Linked DNA regions of Canis lupus familiaris. The protein of the gene in region 1 purifies or fractionates together with the protein of each later gene. This does not show direct contact. Links are inferred from orthologs where the notes say so. Each region holds a gene or a part of one and is shown in the gene's direction. Other genes may lie near its edges.

Evidence for each region.
Region 2: the proteins of LLGL2 (region 1) and PARD6G purify together in Homo sapiens (affinity purification with mass spectrometry; 4 studies listed by BioGRID and IntAct, counting the BioPlex papers as one, with this or other methods). This does not show direct contact. The link is inferred for Canis lupus familiaris from reciprocal best matches to the Homo sapiens genes LLGL2 and PARD6G.

What each region holds. Positions count from the first base shown.
Region 1 is NC_049230.1:5,851,445-5,860,986, reverse strand, and holds the end of LLGL2 (LLGL scribble cell polarity complex component 2), read left to right. Parts: coding exon 1-13; intron 14-399; coding exon 400-692; intron 693-802; coding exon 803-953; intron 954-1,281; coding exon 1,282-1,432; intron 1,433-2,040; coding exon 2,041-2,157; intron 2,158-2,277; coding exon 2,278-2,444; intron 2,445-2,849; coding exon 2,850-3,114; intron 3,115-3,312; coding exon 3,313-3,466; intron 3,467-3,737; coding exon 3,738-3,766; intron 3,767-4,007; coding exon 4,008-4,055; intron 4,056-4,251; coding exon 4,252-4,294; intron 4,295-4,419; coding exon 4,420-4,481; intron 4,482-4,687; coding exon 4,688-4,695; 3' UTR 4,696-5,049; downstream 5,050-9,542. UniProt on the Homo sapiens protein: Part of a complex with GPSM2/LGN, PRKCI/aPKC and PARD6B/Par-6, which may ensure the correct organization and orientation of bipolar spindles for normal cell division.
Region 2 is NC_049222.1:527,012-537,505, forward strand, and holds the end of PARD6G (partitioning defective 6 homolog gamma), read left to right. Parts: intron 1-6,343; coding exon 6,344-7,176; 3' UTR 7,177-8,999; downstream 9,000-10,494. UniProt on the Homo sapiens protein: Adapter protein involved in asymmetrical cell division and cell polarization processes. May play a role in the formation of epithelial tight junctions. The PARD6-PARD3 complex links GTP-bound Rho small GTPases to atypical protein kinase C proteins.

The sequences.
Region 1 (9,542 bases):
CACGGCAGGGCAGGTAGCAGGCTGGGCTGGGCTCAGGGGGTGCTGCTAGGAGGAATAGTCAGGTGACTTTGGGTAGCGGCCCGGGGTCGTAGAGCAGGAAGGACAGGGGCCCATCTCCTGAGCACCCACTGATGGTGTCACCAGACCATCACCTGCTCCTCTGGGCTCTGGGCTTTTCCCAATGGATAGAGGTTGCCTGGTCCCCTGGGACAGACCTGTGAGGTGATTGTTTCTCCTCCAAAAACCAAGATCAAGGGCCAGGGATGGGGCAGAGGCCTTCTGGCTCTCCTTGGGCCCTGGGACTTGGCATGAGTCCCAGGTCCTTTACTGTCCACACACAGGGTCCCTGTGCTGTCCCTTGGTGCTGGGGTTGCTCAGCCCACCTGCCGTCTCCCCCAGGTGCTGGTGCTTGAGCTGAATGATGAGGAAGCAGAGCATGCTGTGGAGCAGGTGGAGGCCGACCTGCTGCAGGACCAGGAGGGCTACCGCTGGAAGGGGCACGAGCGCCTGTGTGCCCGCCCAGGGCCCGTGCATTTCGAGCCTGGCTTCCAGCCCTTTGTGTTGGTGCAGTGCCAGCCCCCGGCTGTGGTCACCTCCTTGGCCTTGCACTCTGAGTGGCGGCTTGTGGCCTTCGGCACAAGCCATGGTTTTGGCCTCTTTGACCACCAGCAGCGGCGGCAAGTCTTTGTCAAGTAAGCAGCGTGCCCGGGGTGGCCGAGGCCTGAACCTAGGGTTGCCAGTGGGCGATGACCCCTGGGCCCTGGCAGCACTGATGCCCTGATGCGCCCCCCCCCCCCCCCAGATGCACGCTGCACCCTAGTGACCAGCTAGCTTTGGAGGGCCCGCTGTCCCGAGTGAAGTCCCTAAAGAAATCCCTGCGCCAGTCCTTCCGCCGGATTCGTCGGAGCCGAGTGTCCAGCCGGAAGCGGCGGCCAGCTGGTCCCCCTGGAGAGGTGAGGCTGAGCCTGGGGAGAGCTCAGAGCAGCCAGCAGCGGGTCCAGACTAGGCCTCCATCCCCCAGCTGCTTTGGCTGCCAGGACAGGCTCTGGGCCCCACCAGTAGCTTCGTGTCCTGCCTCACTGCCCACCAGCCAAGTGACCTGTGCCTCATCTTCCCCAAATGTAAAGGGTTAAGTCCTCAGTAAATGTCATTGGACAGGTGGTGGCATGGGCAGTGGCCTGTCATCATCTTCTGGAAGGATTGGTGTGGGGCAATCTGATATCCCCAGGAAGGGGAGGCCAGAGTACCCCTCCCACTCAGGCCCCACCCGACCCACTGCAGGTGCAGGAGGGGAGCGCCAGGGCCGAGCGGGTGGGTGTGCAGAATATGGAGCTGGCACCCGTGCAGCGGAAAATTGAAGCTCGCTCAGCAGAGGACTCCTTCACGGGCTTTGTCCGGACCCTCTACTTCGCTGACACCTATCTGAGGGACAGTGAGTGGCCAGCCTGAGGTGGGGGGTCCCAGGAGAGCACTCCTTGGCCTGAGGTCATATTGGGGGCTGCCACCTGGCCTGGCTAAAAGGACCAGGCTTGGAGCATGGGGAGACCAGATCCTCCGCCTGCCTCTTTCTTTCCCCTGCTTGGGTCTCTAAGGGAGCTTGCCCCAGCTACATACTCAGGCTCCCCCACTCTCTGGAAGTGTGACCTTAGACACGTCCCTTAATCTGGGTCTCAGCTTCTGCCCCCGCAAAATGCCTGCTGGCATCCAGTGGGCCCTGCAGAAGCTCCCCTGCTGGCCTCCCACCAGGGCAAGGGTGGCATGGGGATATCCAGTGCTGTGTCTTGAGGGTTGAGCTGTCCTGGGTTTGAGATCATCTGTGCTTGGGGCCCTTGGTTGTCAGACAGCCCTTCTGGCTTCTGTCTACACCCCAGGGGGTTAGGCAGGATCCACAGCCATTCTGTCTTACAGAGGAGGAAACAGAGGCTTGACCTCAGAGTCACCCAGGTAGTGAGTGGCGAGGCAAGGATGCAAGCTCAGGTCACCTGGCTCTACCTGACCCCCAGAGCCTTGGGTTAGATATAAACCTTTGCCTCCTGGCAGGCTCCCGCCACTGCCCCTCTCTGTGGGCTGGCACCAATGGGGGTGCCGTCTACGCCTTTGCCCTGCGCGTGCCCCCCGCCGAGCGGAGAATGGACGAGCCCGTGCGGGCAGAGCAGGGTGAGTGCTGGGCAGTGGGGAGAGCAGAGGGTGCTCATCTGCTGAGGCTCAGGCTGGGGTGGTATCTCTGGCCTTGCCCCCCGCCTGACTATCACCCGCCATCTGCCTCTTGCCCTGTAGCCAAGGAGATCCAGCTGATGCACCGAGCACCCGTGGTGGGCATCCTGGTGCTGGACGGACATAGCGTGCCCCTTCCTGAGCCCCTGGAGGTGGCACATGACCTGTCAAAGAGCCCCGACATGCAGGGAAGCCACCAGCTGCTTGTGGTGTCAGAGGAGCAATTCAAGGTGTTGCTTGGGTAGAACCAGGAACCTCAGGGAGTCCGGGGGACATCTGGGGAGCTCAGATCCTGGGCACAATGACAGTGGCTGGGGTCCACTTGAAGTTGGATCTGCAGTTGATGTGAGATGTCACCAAGGCACAGAAAGGGAGAGGGGTAGAGTCCGGGGCCCCGGCGTCAGCAGGAGGACACTGAAACAGGACCTGTGTCCATAGGAGGGACAGAAACAGACATGGAAAGAAGTAGCCCAGGCCTCCTCGCAGTCCAGGTGCAGTGGCTGCGTGGCCGAGCACTGGGCAGAGAGGCACAGAGCTTGAGCAGACTTTGCTGGGAATCAGGGCAGGGCAGGGGCATCTGCTGGGAAGCAGGGCGCCATGGTCTGGCCAGGGTTCAAGCTGTTCTGTGCCCTCAGGTGTTCACGCTGCCCAAGGTGAGTGCCAAGCTGAAGCTGAAGCTGACCGCTCTGGAGGGCTCGCGGGTGCGGCGGGTCAGCGTGGCCCACTTCAGCAGCCGTCGAGCCGAGGACTACGGGGAGCATCACCTGGCCGTCCTCACCAACCTGGGCGACGTGCAGGTGGTCTCGCTGCCCCTGCTCAAGCCCCAGGTGCGGTACAGCTGCATTCGCCGGGAAGATGTCAGTGGCATCGCCTCCTGCGTCTTCACCAAATACGGCCAAGGTGGGCACCGGGCAGGTGTGGCGGGGCCGCAGCGATGACAGCCAGGGCTGTCGCAGCCAGGGCCAGGCTGGACTTACCTCAGCCGAGAACTTGGAGGGAGGCCCCAGCCCCCAATTCCTCCTGGGAGGGAAGTCCTGTCGACAGCCGGGCCCAGGAGCCACGGGCTGGCCTCACCTGCCAGGCCTCTCCTCCCCCCAGGTTTCTACTTGATCTCACCCTCAGAGTTTGAGCGCTTCTCTCTCTCCACCAAGTGGCTGGTTGAGCCCCGCTGCCTGGTGGAGTCAGCAGAAGCCAAGAGCCACAGCCGCCCTCGCAACGGATCAGGCCCAGAGAAGGCCTTGGGCCAAGCCAGGTTGGTAAAAAGGCGGGTGGCCTGAGGGTGCCTCGCTGAGACCCCCCTCTCCTGTGAGCTCCCCACCCTCCTGGCTCTGGCTCACCACCCCCCTTCGTAGGCCCCTCCCATGCAAGCTGCTATCCCCGGCAGGGCTTGGTTCTGGCTCAGGGTGGGCCCGGTCAGTTGACTTCATTCTTCATGGGATCAGAGCTTTCTGAGCTGGAATTGGGGGGGGGGGGGAGCCTAGCTGCCCCCCTCACTCCAGTCCTCACCATCTCTCTCCCCACAGGAACTCAGGGAGCCAGAGTGATGGAGAGGGTAAGACAGGCTTCCCTGTGGCCAGGGGTGCGGGGGGACAGAGGCAGTGTGAGACTTGGGCCCAGACCCAGACCGAAGGGGAAGGAGAGGAACCCCAGGCCTGCAGATGTGTTTGGGCTAAGCGAAGAAACGGCATCCCCTCCAGTCCTGAGCTCTGGGCTCCAGCACTCCCACTTCAGTAAAGAGGGAGCTGGGGCCGAAGGGGCCCCAAGGCTTGCTTGACTCAGCCTCTGCCTTTCAGAGAAAAGGCCTGGTCCAGTGATGGAGCACGCCCTGCTCAATGACGAGAGTGAGTTGGGGCAGGAGTTGGTGGGCTGGCTTGAGGGATGTTCCAAGGGAGGCTTGGAAGGCCAGGGTGGAACTGAGGGCCATTACCCTGTGGGAGGCAGACCTGCCCAACACCCTGCCAGTAAAAGGGGGCGAAACATTCGTGTCCGGCTCAGCATCTGTGGGCTTCACAGCGCCTCTGTTCCCCAACCCTGCAGGGGTCCTGAAGGAAATCCAGAGCACACTGGAGGGAGACCGAGGGTGAGTTACTGTTGGGGCCTGCAGGGCTGGGTCCGGGGGCTCCAAGAGATCTCAGGAAATGATGGGCCTCGTCTGGCCTCCCAGTGGTCCCCATGGATGGTGACTGCCCTGTCTTTGCCCTTCAGGAGCTATGGCGATTGGCGTTCTCAGCGAGTGACCGTGGGGTACAGCCTCAGCAATGGGGGAGGTAGGGGCTCTGGGCACTGCTACAGGGCTGGGGGCAACTGGGAGGGTATGCCTGCTGGCCTGGGGTGAGAGGGGGTAGGAGGAAGAGCCCATACATGCCCCCGGGGGTCCTGAAAAGCTGTGTGTCTAGGCTCAGGGTGGGTGACCGAGGCCTCTGGGCCCACCCAAGAGACTCCTGAGTTGTCATTGTTCTATCTACTTCCACAGCGGAGTGAACAGGTTGTGAGTCCAAGCTACACCGTGAACACACACTACTGAGGGCTCTCCCTGGGGCCCTGCCCTCCCCTAAACCCCACCCCCACCCCAGGGAGGACTGGACACCGGGCCATGCCCAGGGCTGGAGCGGAGCCCCATGTCCACCCTCCTGCTGCTGCTCTTGGCCTCGGGAGAGGCGGGGGCCTAGGGCCACGGGGCTGCCCCTCCTGGGCCTTGTCTCTGTTGATTCTTTTGTCAATGTTGCACAGTTTTTACTCCCTCCCCTTTTTGTAGTGGGCTGGGTTTTAAATTATAAATTTTAACTGCCTCTGGGTGGAAAAATAATTTTTAATAAACACATTACCTCTTCACCAGACTGGTCCAATGACTAATTCTTTTAATTATGCAGAAATTTTCTACGGAAACAACGGTTAGCCAGTCCCTTGCCTCTGCCCCTGGGGTGCAGTTACTGGACCAGACCAGTACTCCCGAGAATCTCTCTTTTTAAGACATTTGAGTCAGAGCAAACTGAGCTTGGTTGTATCTGGACACTACACTTCTGTGTTTGGGAATGAATGGCAAGAGTTAACCATCGCGAGTCTGCATGACTGTGCATCCCTGGGTCGAGGCAGAAGGGTTTGACTGGCCTTTCCTTGCTGTCAGAAGGGGAAGACGCGCACCGTATTTTCAGACCTGTTGCCTTCTTCCAGACTTCAGGGAAGGGCTGGGAGCTGCTGCTGAGGTCAGAGACTGTGCCCAGAGATGAAAGGTCTTACCCTCAGATGAACAGCTGGATCAGATAGCTGTTCTGGTCCTTATAAACCAGGGGGGTTGGTCTACTTTATATATATATATATATATATATATTTTATTTATTCATGAGAGACAGAGAGAGAGAGGCAGAGACACAGGCAGAGGGAGAAGCAGGCTCCATGCAGGGAGCCCGATGGGGGACTCAATCCTGGATCTCCAGGATCACACCCTGGGCTGAAGGTGGCACTAAACCACTGAGCCATCCAGGCTGCCCCGGGGGTTGGTCTACTTGATTCTACTTCATTTACCTGTCTTTGGTGAGCATCTACTATATGCCAGGCACATGGGGTCCCTGCCTTGTGGGGCTCACCGTCCTAACAAGGGCAGGAAGTCTTAAGATGCAGGCAGTCCGGGGGTGACAGTAAGCTGGGGCAGGAACATGACCAGAGAGGGTGCTCCACAGAAGACAGGAGCCAGCAGCTTGCCTTGGGAGCTGGTGGGTCCAGAGCTGGCAGGGGTAGGGGGTGGGAACGCCTGGGTGGCTCAGCAGTTGAGCCCCAAAGCTCAGGGCACGATTCCTGGTCTGGCATCAAGTCCTACATCAGGCTCCTTACAGGGAGCCTGCTTCTCCCTCTGCTTATGTCTGTGCCTCACTCTCTGTGTCTCTCATGAATAAATAAAATCTTAAAAAAACAAAAAAAACTGAAGGGGGTGGTCAGGAAGTGTTCTGAAAACAAGACTACCACGTGACTGGGGCCAGATTGGGACCCCCTGCCCCTGGAGCCTGGCGAGGGCAGGGGCACTGCTGTGTGGCACAGGAGCCCACCTCTGGGGCTGTTAGAAAAGGACATGGATTGGTGCACAAGGCAGAGGAGGAGCCAAGGTCCAGGTCCCAGGATGGATGCGCTGTGGGAACGTCCTCCCTAGCACCCTCCAGGCAAGCATGTGCAGCTCAAAAGTCTCTGGGCTATTTAACTTGGGCCACTCCAGTGGCCCCTGTTCTCCTTGGAAGTGGGGGTGGCGCTTACTGAGATAGTCCCAAAAGCCACAAGGAATGAGGAGGAACAGTCCCTCAAAAGGAAGAGGGGCCCAGACCATGGTCCTAGAAGTAGTGGAGAAGGGATTCTGGGTAGATACAGAGACAGAGCTACAGACAGGAGGGGACTGCTACACACCCAGCCAGACAGTCTGGACTTGATTCTGAGACTCTGGAAGCATCTCAGATGCTTCCCTTAAGCAGGGAATTTCCCTGTGAAATTTATGCTTCCAAAGATCACCGTGGCATAAATCCCAGCGAGTTCCACTCTGTGACCTCAGGCAAATTGCCTACCTGCTGTGCGTCCCAGCTTCTTCTGGGGATTGGAATAATGATAGTACCTGCTCAGGACCTGTTGTGAGGTTCAAGGGAGTCCACGAAGTTCACGGGTTCATGACCCTCTGTCAGGGTCACAGAGAGCATGTTACCGCTTCCCTGCACAGGATCTTTTTTTTTTTTTTTTTTTTTTTTTGCACAGGATCTTTATTTTTATCATAAAAGAAATTAAACTCTGCTGTTTACACCTTATAGAGTTGGCACTGGGTCCTCAGTCTGGGGGTCAGAGGGTTATGCTCCAAAAGTGGGTGCCAAGGAGGGAGTGAGAACATGACACCCCAGAGAGCTGGACAGCCACACAGACACACACACACACAGTCTATGGGGACTCATGTGCTTTTCTGACTACTGGTTTAGAAGGGCTTACTGCTTGTTTTTGTCCAGTTAGCTAAATTAACTCACACAAGTGGACAAGTGACATGAAGTTTCCTCCCAAAGAAACCAAGAATTGAAGACCATGGTAATAACACAAGCACCAACATGTCAGAAAACAACAGACCCAAACACTTCCATGGCACAGAGAGCCTCATAGCCACAGCAATGATCCAGCTCCACTGAACAGAAGCCACCCAGCGCCACACACACACACACACACACACACACACACACCTGAAAATATCCACTCTGAACATGGATTGGATTTACATCCATGCTCACTGAGGCTGAGCTTTGCCTTAAGTACTTTGTGCTGTGAAGTATCAGCTACTGTCGGTGGCTCACCTATTTCAGTTCTAGAAAAACCTTCCCCTATCAGGAGTATGAGATCAACAATTTTTATTGATAGGCATGCACAAATGGAAGGGTTTGGCACTGTCTAGAAAGTGGATTAATGGAAGCTGGGCTGGCACAGAGAGAAGCTGGAGGTCCTTGCAGCTTCTGTCCAGGGAGGGGTGATGGTAGCAGCAGGTGGGGATACCAAGAGTAGAGGTGACAAGGACCTCTGCCAGATGGAGAAGGTGAGTGAGTGACAGAGATCACTGCTGACTCCAAGGCCTTGCTGGTGTTCCAAGGGCAGCTGGACACGTGGTCTAGAGACTGGGATCTGAGGGTCTTCGGCACTGACAGGTGGGACACTTAGTGCTTACTTAGACTTGGAAGTCAGGCAGGTAGACCCAGTCCCCAAACACTGTGTCACTTTGCCTGTGACCCACTGTGTGACCTTGGGTAGATGACGTCACTCTTGTGCTATGGTTTTAGTCATCTATAAAACAGAGCATAATCATAGAGCCTACCCTACAGATAGTAAGGATTAAAAGAGTCTGTAAAATCGCACAGCACCTTAACCCAGGCAAGGGACCCTGGCTAGTGGTAGGGCTGGGAGAGAGGGAGGGAGGGAGCATGGTGAGAGGAGGAGCAAAGCAGGTGAAGGAGGGGCACCTGGGTAGCTCAGTGGTTAAGCATCTGCCTTTGGCTCAGATCCTGATCCCAGGGTCTTGGAATTGAGTCCCACATCTAGCTCCTCGCAGGGAGCCTCTGTCTGTGTCTCTCCCTCTCTCCGTGTGTCTCTCATGAATAAATAAATAAGTAAAATCTTTTAAGAAGCAAAAAAAAGCAGGTGGAAGGGATCCCTGGGTGGCGCAGTGGTTTGGTGCCTGCCTTTGGCCCAGGGCGCGATCTGGGAGACCCTGGATCGAATCCCACGTCGGGCTCCCGGTGCATGGAGCCTGTTTCTCCCTCTGCCTGTGTCTCTTCCCTCTCTCTCTCTGTGTGTGTGACTATCATAAATAAATAAAAATTAAAAAAAAAAAAAAAAAAGCAGGTGGATGAATGAGTAGGGAACAAAGGAGCCAGAGTCCAGAGCTGGGCTTGGTGGACAGGTAGGGGGAGGTCCCTGGAGGCTGCCTGAGGTCACACAGCCAGGAGGCAGGCTGGAGGGACAAGGCTGCCTGGTTCCAAAGCCAGTTCCCAGCAGAAGCTCTGAGGAACAGAATAGCAGGTAGTCATGGTCAAGGAGCTGGGTTTGGTGCCCAATTCTAGTTACTGGCTATATGGCCTTCATCCACTTATCCTGAGCTGTCCCCATCTGTACAACTGAGATCTTATCCCTTTCCTAGGGTTTGGGGAGATCTGAATGAAAGGCTGCCGGGGTGGGCAGCCCTGGTGGCACAGCGGTTTAGCACCACCTGCAGCCTAGGGCATGATCCTGGAGACCCTGGATCGAGTCCCACGTCAGGTTCTCTGCATGGAGTCCACTTCTCCCTCTGCCTGTGTCTCTGCCTCTGTGTGTGTGTGTCTATAAATAAATAATCTTTTAAAAAAAGAAAAAAAGAAAGGCTGCCGGGGAAGGGATCACAGAGCTGAGTGAGCTACAAGCCCCGGCCTGGATCAACCAGGAGGATTGGATCTTCCTAAGAAGATAAGAGATTGGAGAGGGGCACTGAGCTCTCTGGTTGCTCCAGGGGTTTGTGGGGGGTACATTGCAATGGGCCAAAGAAAGTCAGGTTTGCTGCTGGTGGTAGGCCCCCACACCCCTGCTCCAGAGGGCTCTGGGTGCCACACTGCTTGGATTGGCACCCTACTGGGACGCTCAGCTGTAAGCCTCATCGTATGAGCCATAAATGGGAATCCTCAGGGTACCCACCTCTTAGCGCGCTTTCAAGAACTAAATGACTCCATGGTGAAGTGTTCAGAACAGTGCCTGGCACATACTAAGCCCTGAAATACTAGCTATGTATCGAGTCCAAGAGGACTAAGGAAGGAGTGGGTATCTGTTGAGCCCCCAGGATGACGGTCAGGACAGGA
Region 2 (10,494 bases), on another chromosome or scaffold:
ACCTTGGCTATTGTAAATAATGCTGCAATAAACATATGGGTGCCTATATCTTTTCAAATTAGTGTTTTTGTTAACTTTTGTGTATAAGATCGTACTCTAGTTTCATTCTGTTGCATATGGCTGCCCAGTTTTCTTGGCCTATTTATTGAAGAGAGTATCCTTTACCTAGTATATATTCTTGTCTCTTTTGTCATTAGTTGACCGTATATGTGTGGGTTTATTTCTGGGCTCTCTACTCTGGTTTTTTGGTTTATGTGTCTATTCTTATGACAAAACCATACAGTTTAGTTTACTAGAGCTTTGTAATCTAGTTTGAAATCAGGGAGCATGATGCCTCCAGCTTTGTTCTTCTTTCTCAAGATTGCTTTGGCTATTTGGGGTCTTTTGGGATTCCATACAAATTTTAGGGTTGTTTGTTCTATTTCTGTGAAAAATGCCATTGGAATTTTAATAGGGATTGCATTGAACCTATAGATTGTTTTAGGTAGTATGGACATTTTAACAATATTAATTCTTCCTATCAATGAGCATGGAATATCTTTCATTTATTCATTTGTGTCTTCTTCAGTTTCTTTCATCAGTGTCTTAGAGTTGTCAGTGTATAGGTATTTCACCTTCTTGGCTAAGTTTTTGCCTAGGTTTTTTATTCTTTGTGCTGCAACTGTAAATGGGATTATTTTCTTAATTTCCCTTCCTGCTAGTTTGTTATTAGTGTATAAAAACCTGATAGATTCCTGCATATTGATTTTGTATCTTGCAACTTTATTGAATTCATTTATTCTAATAGTTTTTTTGTGGAGTCCTTAGGGTTTTCTATATATATTATCTTGTAGTCTGCAAATAGTGATAGTTTTACTTCTTCCTTCACAATTTGGATGCCCCTTACTTCATTTTTTGGTCTGACTGCTCCATCTGAGACCTCCAGTACCATGTTGAATGAATCTGGTAAGTGGACACCCTTGACTTATTTCTGATCTTAGAGGAAAAGCTTTCAGCTTTTCACTATTGAGTATAATGTAAGCTGTGGGTTGTCATATATAGCCTTTAATATGTTGAGGTATATTCCCTACACCCACTTTGTTGAGAATTTTTATCATAAGCAGATGTTGGACTTTGCCAAATGCTTTTTCTGCATCCATTAAGGTGATCATAGGATTTTTATCCTTCATTTTGCTAATGTGGTCATCATATTGATTGATTTGCAGATCCCAAACCTTCCATGCATCTCTGAAATGAATCCCACTTGATCCTTTTAATGTGTTGTTGATTTGGTTTGCTAATATTTTGTTGAATATTTTCACATCTATGTTCATCAGAGACATTGGTCTCTGATTTTCTTTTTTTGTAGTGTCTTTGGTTTTGGCATTAGGGTAATGCTGGCCTTGAAGAATGAATTTTGAAGTTTTCCTTCCTCTTCTATTTTTTGGAAGAGCTTGTGAAGGACAGGTTTTAGCTCTTCTTTACATGTTTAGTGGAATTCACCTGTGCCATCTGGCCCTGCACTTTTTTTTTTCCAGGGTTTTGATTATCAATTCAGTTTCATTAGTAGCAGTCTGTTCAGATTTTCTATTTCTTCCTGATTCAGTCTTTGAAGATTCTAGGAATTTATCCATTTCTTCTAGGTTGTCCAATTTGTTGGTATATAATTTTCCATAGCAATCTCTTGTAATTTTTTGGATTTCTGTGATGTCAGTTTTAAATTCTCTCATTTCTGATTTTATTTACATGAGTCGTCTTTTCTTCTTAATGAGTCTGGCTAAAGGTTTATCGATTTTTTAAATCTTATCAAAGAACCAGCTCTTAGTTTTATTGATCTTTTTTTTTCAAAAAGACTTTACTTATTCATGCGAGACAGAGAGAGAGGCAGAGACACAGGCAGAAGGAGAAGCAGGCTCCATGCAGGGGGCCCGATGTGGGACTCGATCCTGGATCTCCAGGATCATGCCCTGGGTCGAAGGCAGGCGCTAAACCGCTGAGGCACCCAGGGACCCCCTCATTGATCTTTTCTATTATCTTTTTGGTCTCTACTTCATTTATTTTCACTCTGATCTTTTATTACTTCCTTTGCTAACTTTGGGCTTTAGGTTTTTTAATAGTCTTTTTTAGGTGTAAGGTTAGATTGAGACTTTTCTTGTTTCTTGAGGTAGGCGTATCTATAAACTTCCCTCTTAGAACTGCTTGTGCTGCATCCTAAAGAATTTCAACTACTGTGTTTCCATTTTCATTTGTCTCCAGGAACTTTTATTTCGCTTGATTTCTTTGTTGATCCTTTGTAGCATGTTACTTAGCCTTGACATGTGTGTGGCTTCTTCCATTTTCTTGCATTTGATTTCTAGTAATACCATTGTGGTCACAAAAGGTGCTTGATATGATTTCAATCTTCTTAAATTTATTGAGACTTGTTTTGTGACCAAATATGATCTGTCCTGGAGTATGCACCACATGTGGTTGATAAGAATGTATATTCTTTTGCTTTGGGATGGAATGTTCTACATATATCTGTTAGGTCCATCTGGTCTAATGTGTCATTTACAGCCACTGTTTCTTTATTGATTTTTCTGTCTGGAATATCTATCCATTGATGCAAGTGAAGTGCTAAAGTCTCCTACTATTATTATTAGTTTATCCCTTTAGAATGTTGGTAGTTGCTTTATGTATTTAGTTGCTTCAGGTTGCATGCATGTTTGTGATTGTTATATCCTCTTGTTGGACTGGTCCTTTTATCATTATGCGATGCCCTTCTTTGTCTCGTTATAGTCTTTATTTCAAAGTCTAGTCTGTTCAATATAAGTATTGCTATCCCAGTTGCTTTTTTTTTTTTCTTCATTAGCATGGAATATCTTTTTCCATCCCTTCTCTTTTTATCTGTGTATGTCTTTAGATCTAAGGTGAGTCTCTTACAGACAGCATATAGATGGATCTTGTTTATAGATCCATTTACCCCATGTCTTTTGATTGGAGCATTAAATTATCAATAGGTTATGTAATTATTGCCATTTTGTTCACTGTTTTCTGATATAATTCTGTTCCTCTCTTCTTCTCTTGTTCTCTTCCCTTGTGATTTGATGACTTTCTTCAGTGTTATGCTTGGATTCCTCTCTATTTTTTGTGTATCTATTTATTGGTTTTTGGCTTGTGGTTATCATGAGATTCATGATATATGTATAGCATATATACAGCAATCTATATTAAGTCAAAAGCACTCTAAAAAATAATTTATGGACATGATGTATTTTACTTTATTTTGTGTATCCCCAAGTTTTATAGATATAATTTATTTTACCACTTTTGCTTGTTAATATTCATACTAGTTTTGTAACTCTTAATGAGTATATTAATTATACTACATTTACTATGTTTTTGCTTTTTATCTGTGAAATTTTTCCCTTTCATAATTTTTGTACTTCTAGTTATGGCCTTCTCTTTTCCACTTATAGAAGTCCCTTTAATGTTTCTTATAAGGCCAGCTTAGTAGTTAGGAATTCTTAATTTTTGTTTGTCAGGGAAACTCCATCTCTCCTTCAGTACTGAATGATAGCCCTGCTGGACAGAATGTTCTTCTTGTAGGGTTTTTTCCTTTCAGCACTTTGACTATAACCTATTACTCCTCCCTGCAAAGTTTCTGCTGAAATATCAACTGACAGTCTAATAGGCTTTCCTTTTTACGTAGCTAGTAGCTTTTCTCTTGCTTGCTTTTAAGATTCTCTGTTTAACATTGACATTCTAATTATCATATGTCTTGGTATGTAACTCCTTGGGTTCATCTTTTTGGGGATCTCTCTGTTTCCTGGACCTAGATCCCTTTCCTTCTTCAGGTTAGGGAAGTTTTCAGTTATTATTTCTTCAAATAGGTTTTCTATACCTTTCTCTATCTCCTCTCCCTCTAAGACCCCTGTCCCATGAATCTTAAACACTTAGCCCTTAACCTGTCTCATCATTTAATTTTTTCCTTTTGTTGTTGTTCAGCATGGGTGCTTTCCATGACTGTCTTCCAGACCATTGATTGATCCATTCTGCATCCTCAAATCTGCTATTTGTTTTCTCTGATATAATTTTCATTATACTTATTGGATTCAACTTTTTTAATACTCTCTCATTACTAAAGTTCTCAGAGTTCATCTACTCTTTTTTTCAAGTCTGGTGGGTATCTTTATGACCATTACTTTGAATTCTTTATCAAGTAGGAAGGTGGTTTATCTTCATTTCCTTAGGTCCTTTTCGGAGGTTTTGTCTGATTCTGTGTTTATTTCTATGTATTAGATCCATCAGCTATGTCTCCTGGTCTTGAAGTGATAGACTCACACAAAAGATGTCTTTTGGGGCCATAGTCCCCTCTGGTCATCAGAAGCATGTGCTTCAGGGTTGTCCCCTGGGTGGGCTGCTGGGAGTATGTTGGTAGGGGGAGCTGTCCCCCATCCTGGGGCCAGGAGTCCCTGTGCAGCAGTGTCCGTCCCAGCTGGGGCTACCCCCTGGGTGTGGCAGATGGAGGAGTGCCTGCCAAGGCCAGGCAAGCAGGACCAGCACGTTAGATGGAGAGTGCCAGTAGTGGTGCCTGGCCAGCTAGGCTGAAAGAGGGCAAAACAGTAGTGTCCATCAGCACTTCCATTCCCAAAGAAAGCACCTGCAGATTCCTGCCCCTGCAACACATGCCCTAAAATCTGTCAGTAAGTTTCCCTTACGTATACTCCAGGCACTTCTCAGACTGCTGCCTCTGTACTGGCTCTGAAGCCAAGTGATACAGTACACTAGCCTTCCAAAAGCAGCCCTGCTCTCCTGGAGTTAGGCTCCACTAGTTTTCAAAGCTCCCGGGGTTGAGCCTTGCTGATTTTCAAAGCTAGACATCAGGAGGGCTCATCTTCCTCGTACAGGGTCACCCTGGGGGTTTGATGCCATCAGTCCTCAGGGAGGACCTCTGCAACTGTGATAGCCATCCTGCATGTGGGTCATGTGCCAGGAATTTGCTTCCTGTCTTTGCCCCTCCTGCCCTTCTTGGTGTGGCTTTTTCTTTCTGTCCTTGGCTGTGGAAGAGTTGTCCTGCTAGCCTCAGGTTCTCGGGTTGAGTTGCCTTCTGTGTGGTGGATGCCTTGTGTGTCCGTGGGGGGAGGTGAGCTCAGACTCCTCTACTCTCAGCCCCACGGTCTCAGGGCATTCATGTTAATGTCTGACCAGTAGATCTGACATCAGGTCTTTTTTAGGGACAGATTCTGTAGAATTCCCTTTTTCCTTTCAATGGGCCAAACTCCCTGTGCCTTGTGATTTTTTGGCTGAACATGGCACATTCGAATCTCCTGATGTGGTGACTCTGGAAATCAGACTCCCCTTCCCCACCCCCCTTTCCCAGGCTTTGCTGTTTTGTTGTCATCATTCTTTGGATGGTGGCAGGCTGCCTCTGTGCTGAGGATCAGCCCAAGGTGCAAGCTCAGTGTCTTCTGGGGTCTTCTCTGAGCCTTCCCTTGGGCAGGCACCATCCGTCCTAATTTCCCACGTGTGCAGCTGTTTCTGAATGTCCTAATGTGTGGCTCCCCAAAGGGGAAAAGTGAGAAACCACAGGGGCATCAGGGGGCACCCGCCCTCTCAGTGCCATTGCAGTCACGCAAGCTGGAGCCAGAGCAGCGACAGCAGTGGCCGCAGCCTCTGTATCTGCACCTGTGAAGTCAGAGCACAGACTCTGCTCTTGGAAGGAAAGGGTCCTTCCTGCTGACCTGGCGTCAGCAGGCGGCTCCTGAAACACATGCACAGCTGCCTGCTGCAGGGCTGAGTAGCTGCCCCTGTGCTCCAAGCTAGAATAGACCAGAACTGGCTCCTTCTGCTGGACAGTTGGAATCCTTCAGCAGACTCCACTATCCCAAAATAGTCCCATCAGCCAGATTCTGCCCCTGCAGTGGTCGCTGAGGTCGGGGAGAGTCCTGGCGCTCCCTGAGCTGCCCTCCTCCCAAAGTCCAATCAGGCACTTAAACTTTCCATCTATTGCAGTTTCTTGTTTCTTCCTCTCCACCTTTCATTCATTTTGTCGACTGCCTGTGGGTGGTTCTGGAGATTTGCAGAGAGCTAACTTTAGGGATTGGACTTGAACTCTTGGGCCAGCTCAAGTGATGCCAGGATCACTGCGGACTCAGTGAAACAACTCAGGAAGTCCCTCCATAGCATCCTGGCGGCTGAGACCTGCTAGGCATGTGGGTGAGAGTCCTGGGAGTCCATGGAAGCCAGAGGTAACTGTGGTGCTCAGTGCCTGGGAGTTTGGCAGCCCGGGGCCCAGCCAACAGGTGGGCAGCAGAGAGGCGGGCCCAGGGCCCCCACCCTCCACTACTGTGCCCCATCCTGATCGTCCCCTCTGCTGTTTCAGAGGAGGCCGAGCATGGCAGCTTCGGGGCTGGCTCGCTGTCCCGCCGCAGGAAGGCACTGGCACTGCGTGAGGACGGCCCCCGCCGGCGGACGCACCTGCACATCGGCCTGCCGCACGACTTCCGCCCGGTGTCCTCCATCATCGACGTGGACATCTTGCCCGAGACGCACCGCCGCGTGAGGCTGTACAGGCACGGCTGCCAGAAGCCGCTGGGTTTCTACATCCGCGATGGCACGAGCGTGCGCGTGGCCCCGCAGGGCCTGGAGAAGGTGCCTGGCATCTTCATCTCGCGCATGGTGCCCGGCGGCCTGGCCGAGAGCACCGGGTTGCTGGCCGTGGATGACGAGGTCCTGGAGGTGAACGGCATCGAGGTGGCGGGGAAGACGCTGGACCAGGTCACGGACATGATGATCGCCAACAGCCACAACCTCATCGTCACGGTCAAGCCGGCCAACCAGAGGAACAACGTGGTGCGCGGCAGCCGCGTGGCGGGCGGCTCGGGCCGCTCCTCGGACAGCGGGGCCAGCCGCCACAGCCTGCCCGCGGCCCCCGCCCTGCTGCGCCTGCAGCCCGACGACGTGGACAGCGACGACGAGCCCGACGTGGTGCTGGAGGGCGTGCTGGGGCCGCGGCCGGTGCCCAGGCTGCCCCCGCCGCCCCCGCCGCCCCCGCCGGGCAGCCAGGCGCGGGTCAACGGCGCAGGCCCCGGGCTGGGCAGGGAGGGCCCGGCGCACCGGCTGCTCAGCTCGCTGCGCGCAGACCCGCGCCACAGCCTGGCCCTGCCGCTGCCCCCGGGGGCGGTGGAGGAGCACGGCCCGGCGGTCACGCTGTAGGCCCGCGCCGCCCGGCAGCCCGCCACCCGGCTCTTCGTCCATCCCGCCTCCTGGCCCGCACCCCGGGCTCGCTTTATTCAAACCTGCCGACAGAAAATACAGATGCTATTTTTACAGAACTTTTGCGTAGAACATCACACGCACTCATTTGCGGTCTGCGTCCTGCCGAGGTCGGTCCCGGCCCTTTCCCGAAATGGCAGAAAGGATCTGACTGCGTGCAGAAAAGATTTCATTCAGAAATTTTTAAAGATACTTTTATAAATGAAGCTTTAAAATTACTTTTTAAATACAGTCGAATTTGTGTTTTTAACGTGACTTGTGCAAAAACAACCTGTCGAGTCAGCACTGTTTTTACTGTGCTCCAGCTGACTTGCAGAGACTGGTTTCTAACAATACATACCAAACCTTTAACAGGTAGGACTATAAACAATGAATCTCAAATTTTCACATTATTTACAGCTCTATTTCAGATAGCCCAGTGGGTGTCGAACTCTCAGACATCCCTGGAAAAAAGACCTGGTGTGAAACAGTCCGGCAGTGCCTGCAGGTGGTCAGAGGCGGCTTGTCTTCAGCCTCTGAGGGCAAACGCCACCTCTGCTGGATGGCACTGTATGCTCAGCAATACTTCTCTGACCAAAAGCCAATATAGATAAAAACTAGTCTTGTAGACTGATTGAGGGCAATTTTTGAAATATTGTCAGCAGAAAGGATGGATCCACCTACCACAAACCCCAGATACGCCTTTAAAAGCTGTCATTTGGTTGTATAGTTTCTCTTATCTCTGTTTTTAAATTACAAGTCACATGAAAATTAATTATTTTTAACACATTAAATTCACTGTCACTTCCTTTTTGATCTTCCAGAAATATTTTATATATTCAGTAATTTTAAAGATTTATTCATGTTTGACCCAGTTTTACATGAAGTGTATTTTGTTTGAGTCCACTGTCGAGGAGAAAATATTACACTTATACTTCGAGAACTCTGACCAAACAAAGCTTTCATATAAATACAGGTAAAAATATTTTTCTAGGATGCCTTTCCAGGCAATGCTTCTCCTGTGGCACAGCAACCCCTGCTGGTCGGTGGCAGAACTGTCCTGCTGCTAACAAACGGGAAAACCCTATGTCAACATCTCCATTTTTCCTGAATTCGTTAAGTGTAAAAGCAAATTAATTTTCTTTTGGAAACTATTTATTGGGCAGAAATAGCTTTTATTGAGTAGTTGTGGTCTCCTGCACCTATGTTTGATGTTATTATTTGTATACCGGGATCACTGTTGGTTTTATTCCTAAGCAAAGGGAGGACCAGAGATGCTCTCCCTTTGAGGTCTAGGCAGAGAGTCCAAATGCACCCAAACTTACGGGCTCCAGTGAACTGTATGAGCATCTTTTTTGGCACCTAAGCAGTCAGAAGTGGGTTTTTTCTTACTACAATAAGTATAGAACCAAAACTCTAGTGCTACTTACTATCAGAAATGAAATGTTCTTTTACTAAGTTATTGCTGGTTATTGAATATCTTGTTGAGTAACTGGATCTGTTACCAAGAAGGAACGTTATATTTCTTACCATGTTTTAAATTAAGTAAATGTGAATAATTTTTTAAAGAAAAAAAAAAGAAGCCTCCTCAGACTTGTATGCTGTTGTTCATAATTTTAGGGATTCTGAATTTCTTGGAACAGCTGCTTCAGTGTATTTTTGTACCATATCTTCTGCCATTTTCTTTTTAAAACAAAACAAAACAAAAATACTATGTTGTATTACACATTAAAGTTTTCTTGGTTTTATATATCAAAGAATAAAAACTTTTTCTTTGCATTTAATATTTTTCACTTGTGTTCTAAATGTTGGAGAGGTTAGCAGTGTTGGTGATGAGCAGAAACTCATCCCTCAGAATGGAATGCTATTTAGCAAGAGCCTATCCTGTGCCATATGTTTCCACTTAATCATCACACGTAGCCAATAGCATTATCCCCATTTTGCAGAGAGAAAATGGACTCAAACACAAGCATGTGTAGGTCATTTCAAATAATGAAATTATAGTTGTATTTGATGGGAGATGGATGCATCTTAGATCTAGAAACTTCTTTTTAAGTCCTTTTGAAAAAGGTTTTCCAAATACTTCCTACACATCTCTCCCTAAATATGCCCAGGTTTGCAAATTTGCCATTCATCCTTTCTCACCCTGACATTACGTACGATGCATAGCAGCATGAGTTCCCCATTCAGTCATTACAGACATTCTGGTGACATCAGCAACCACCAATAACTCCTGGAAGAAATGTGCTCTGTACAGGCATTCATCAACTTAACCCTGTCAGTGACTTTACAGTTTACAGCTGGGGACACTCAAACAACTGGAGTGTCCCTCCACAGTCTGAAGAGATGGCACTGAGCAGAGATGTAGATCTCCCTGACCTGGTAATCCACATTGTCAACCCCAGGGCCTATGCTGCCCTTCAGAGGAGCCAGCCTGTCAGCTGGGCAATGAGGCTAGCCATGAATCACAAGTTACATAGCATCTTGCAGTATTAGACAAAGTGATCATATATGGGCAGTGGGTCTCATGGCAAGTTGCAAAGATACCTTCAAAATGCTGATTGTTATTCTACCAAACATTTAAAGAAGAAATAATACTTATTCCACTATGGCTATTTCAAAAGATAGAAATGGAAGGAATACTTCCAAATTCATTCTATGAGGTCAGCATTACCTTGATCCCCAAACCAGACAAAGACCCCACCAGAAAGGAGAATTACAGATTAATATCCCTGATGAACATGGATGTTAAAATTCTAAGATTCTAGCCAATAGGATCCAACAGTACATAAAGAGGATTATTCACCACGACCATGTGGGATTTATTCCCGGGCTGCAAGGGTGGTTGAACACTCGTAGAACTATTGATGTGTGAGATCACATCAGTAAAAGAAAAGACACGAACCACATGATCCTCTCAGTAGATACAGACAAAGCATGTGACAAAATACAGCATCCATTCCTGATCAAAACTATTCAAAGTGTAGGGATAAAGGAAACATTTCTCAATATCATAAAAACCCTTTATGAAAAGTCCACAGAGAATATCATTCTCAATGGGGAAAAACTGAGAGCCTTTCCCCTAAGATCAGGAACACGACAGGCATGCCCATTCTCACCACTGTTAGTCAACATAGTTCTAGACGTCCCAGTCTCACCAATCAGACAAATAGAAATAAAAGGCATTCAAACTGGCCAAGAAGAAGTCAAACTCTCCCTCTTTGCAGATGACATGATACTGTACATAGAAAACCCAAACGACTCTGCCCCAAGATTGCT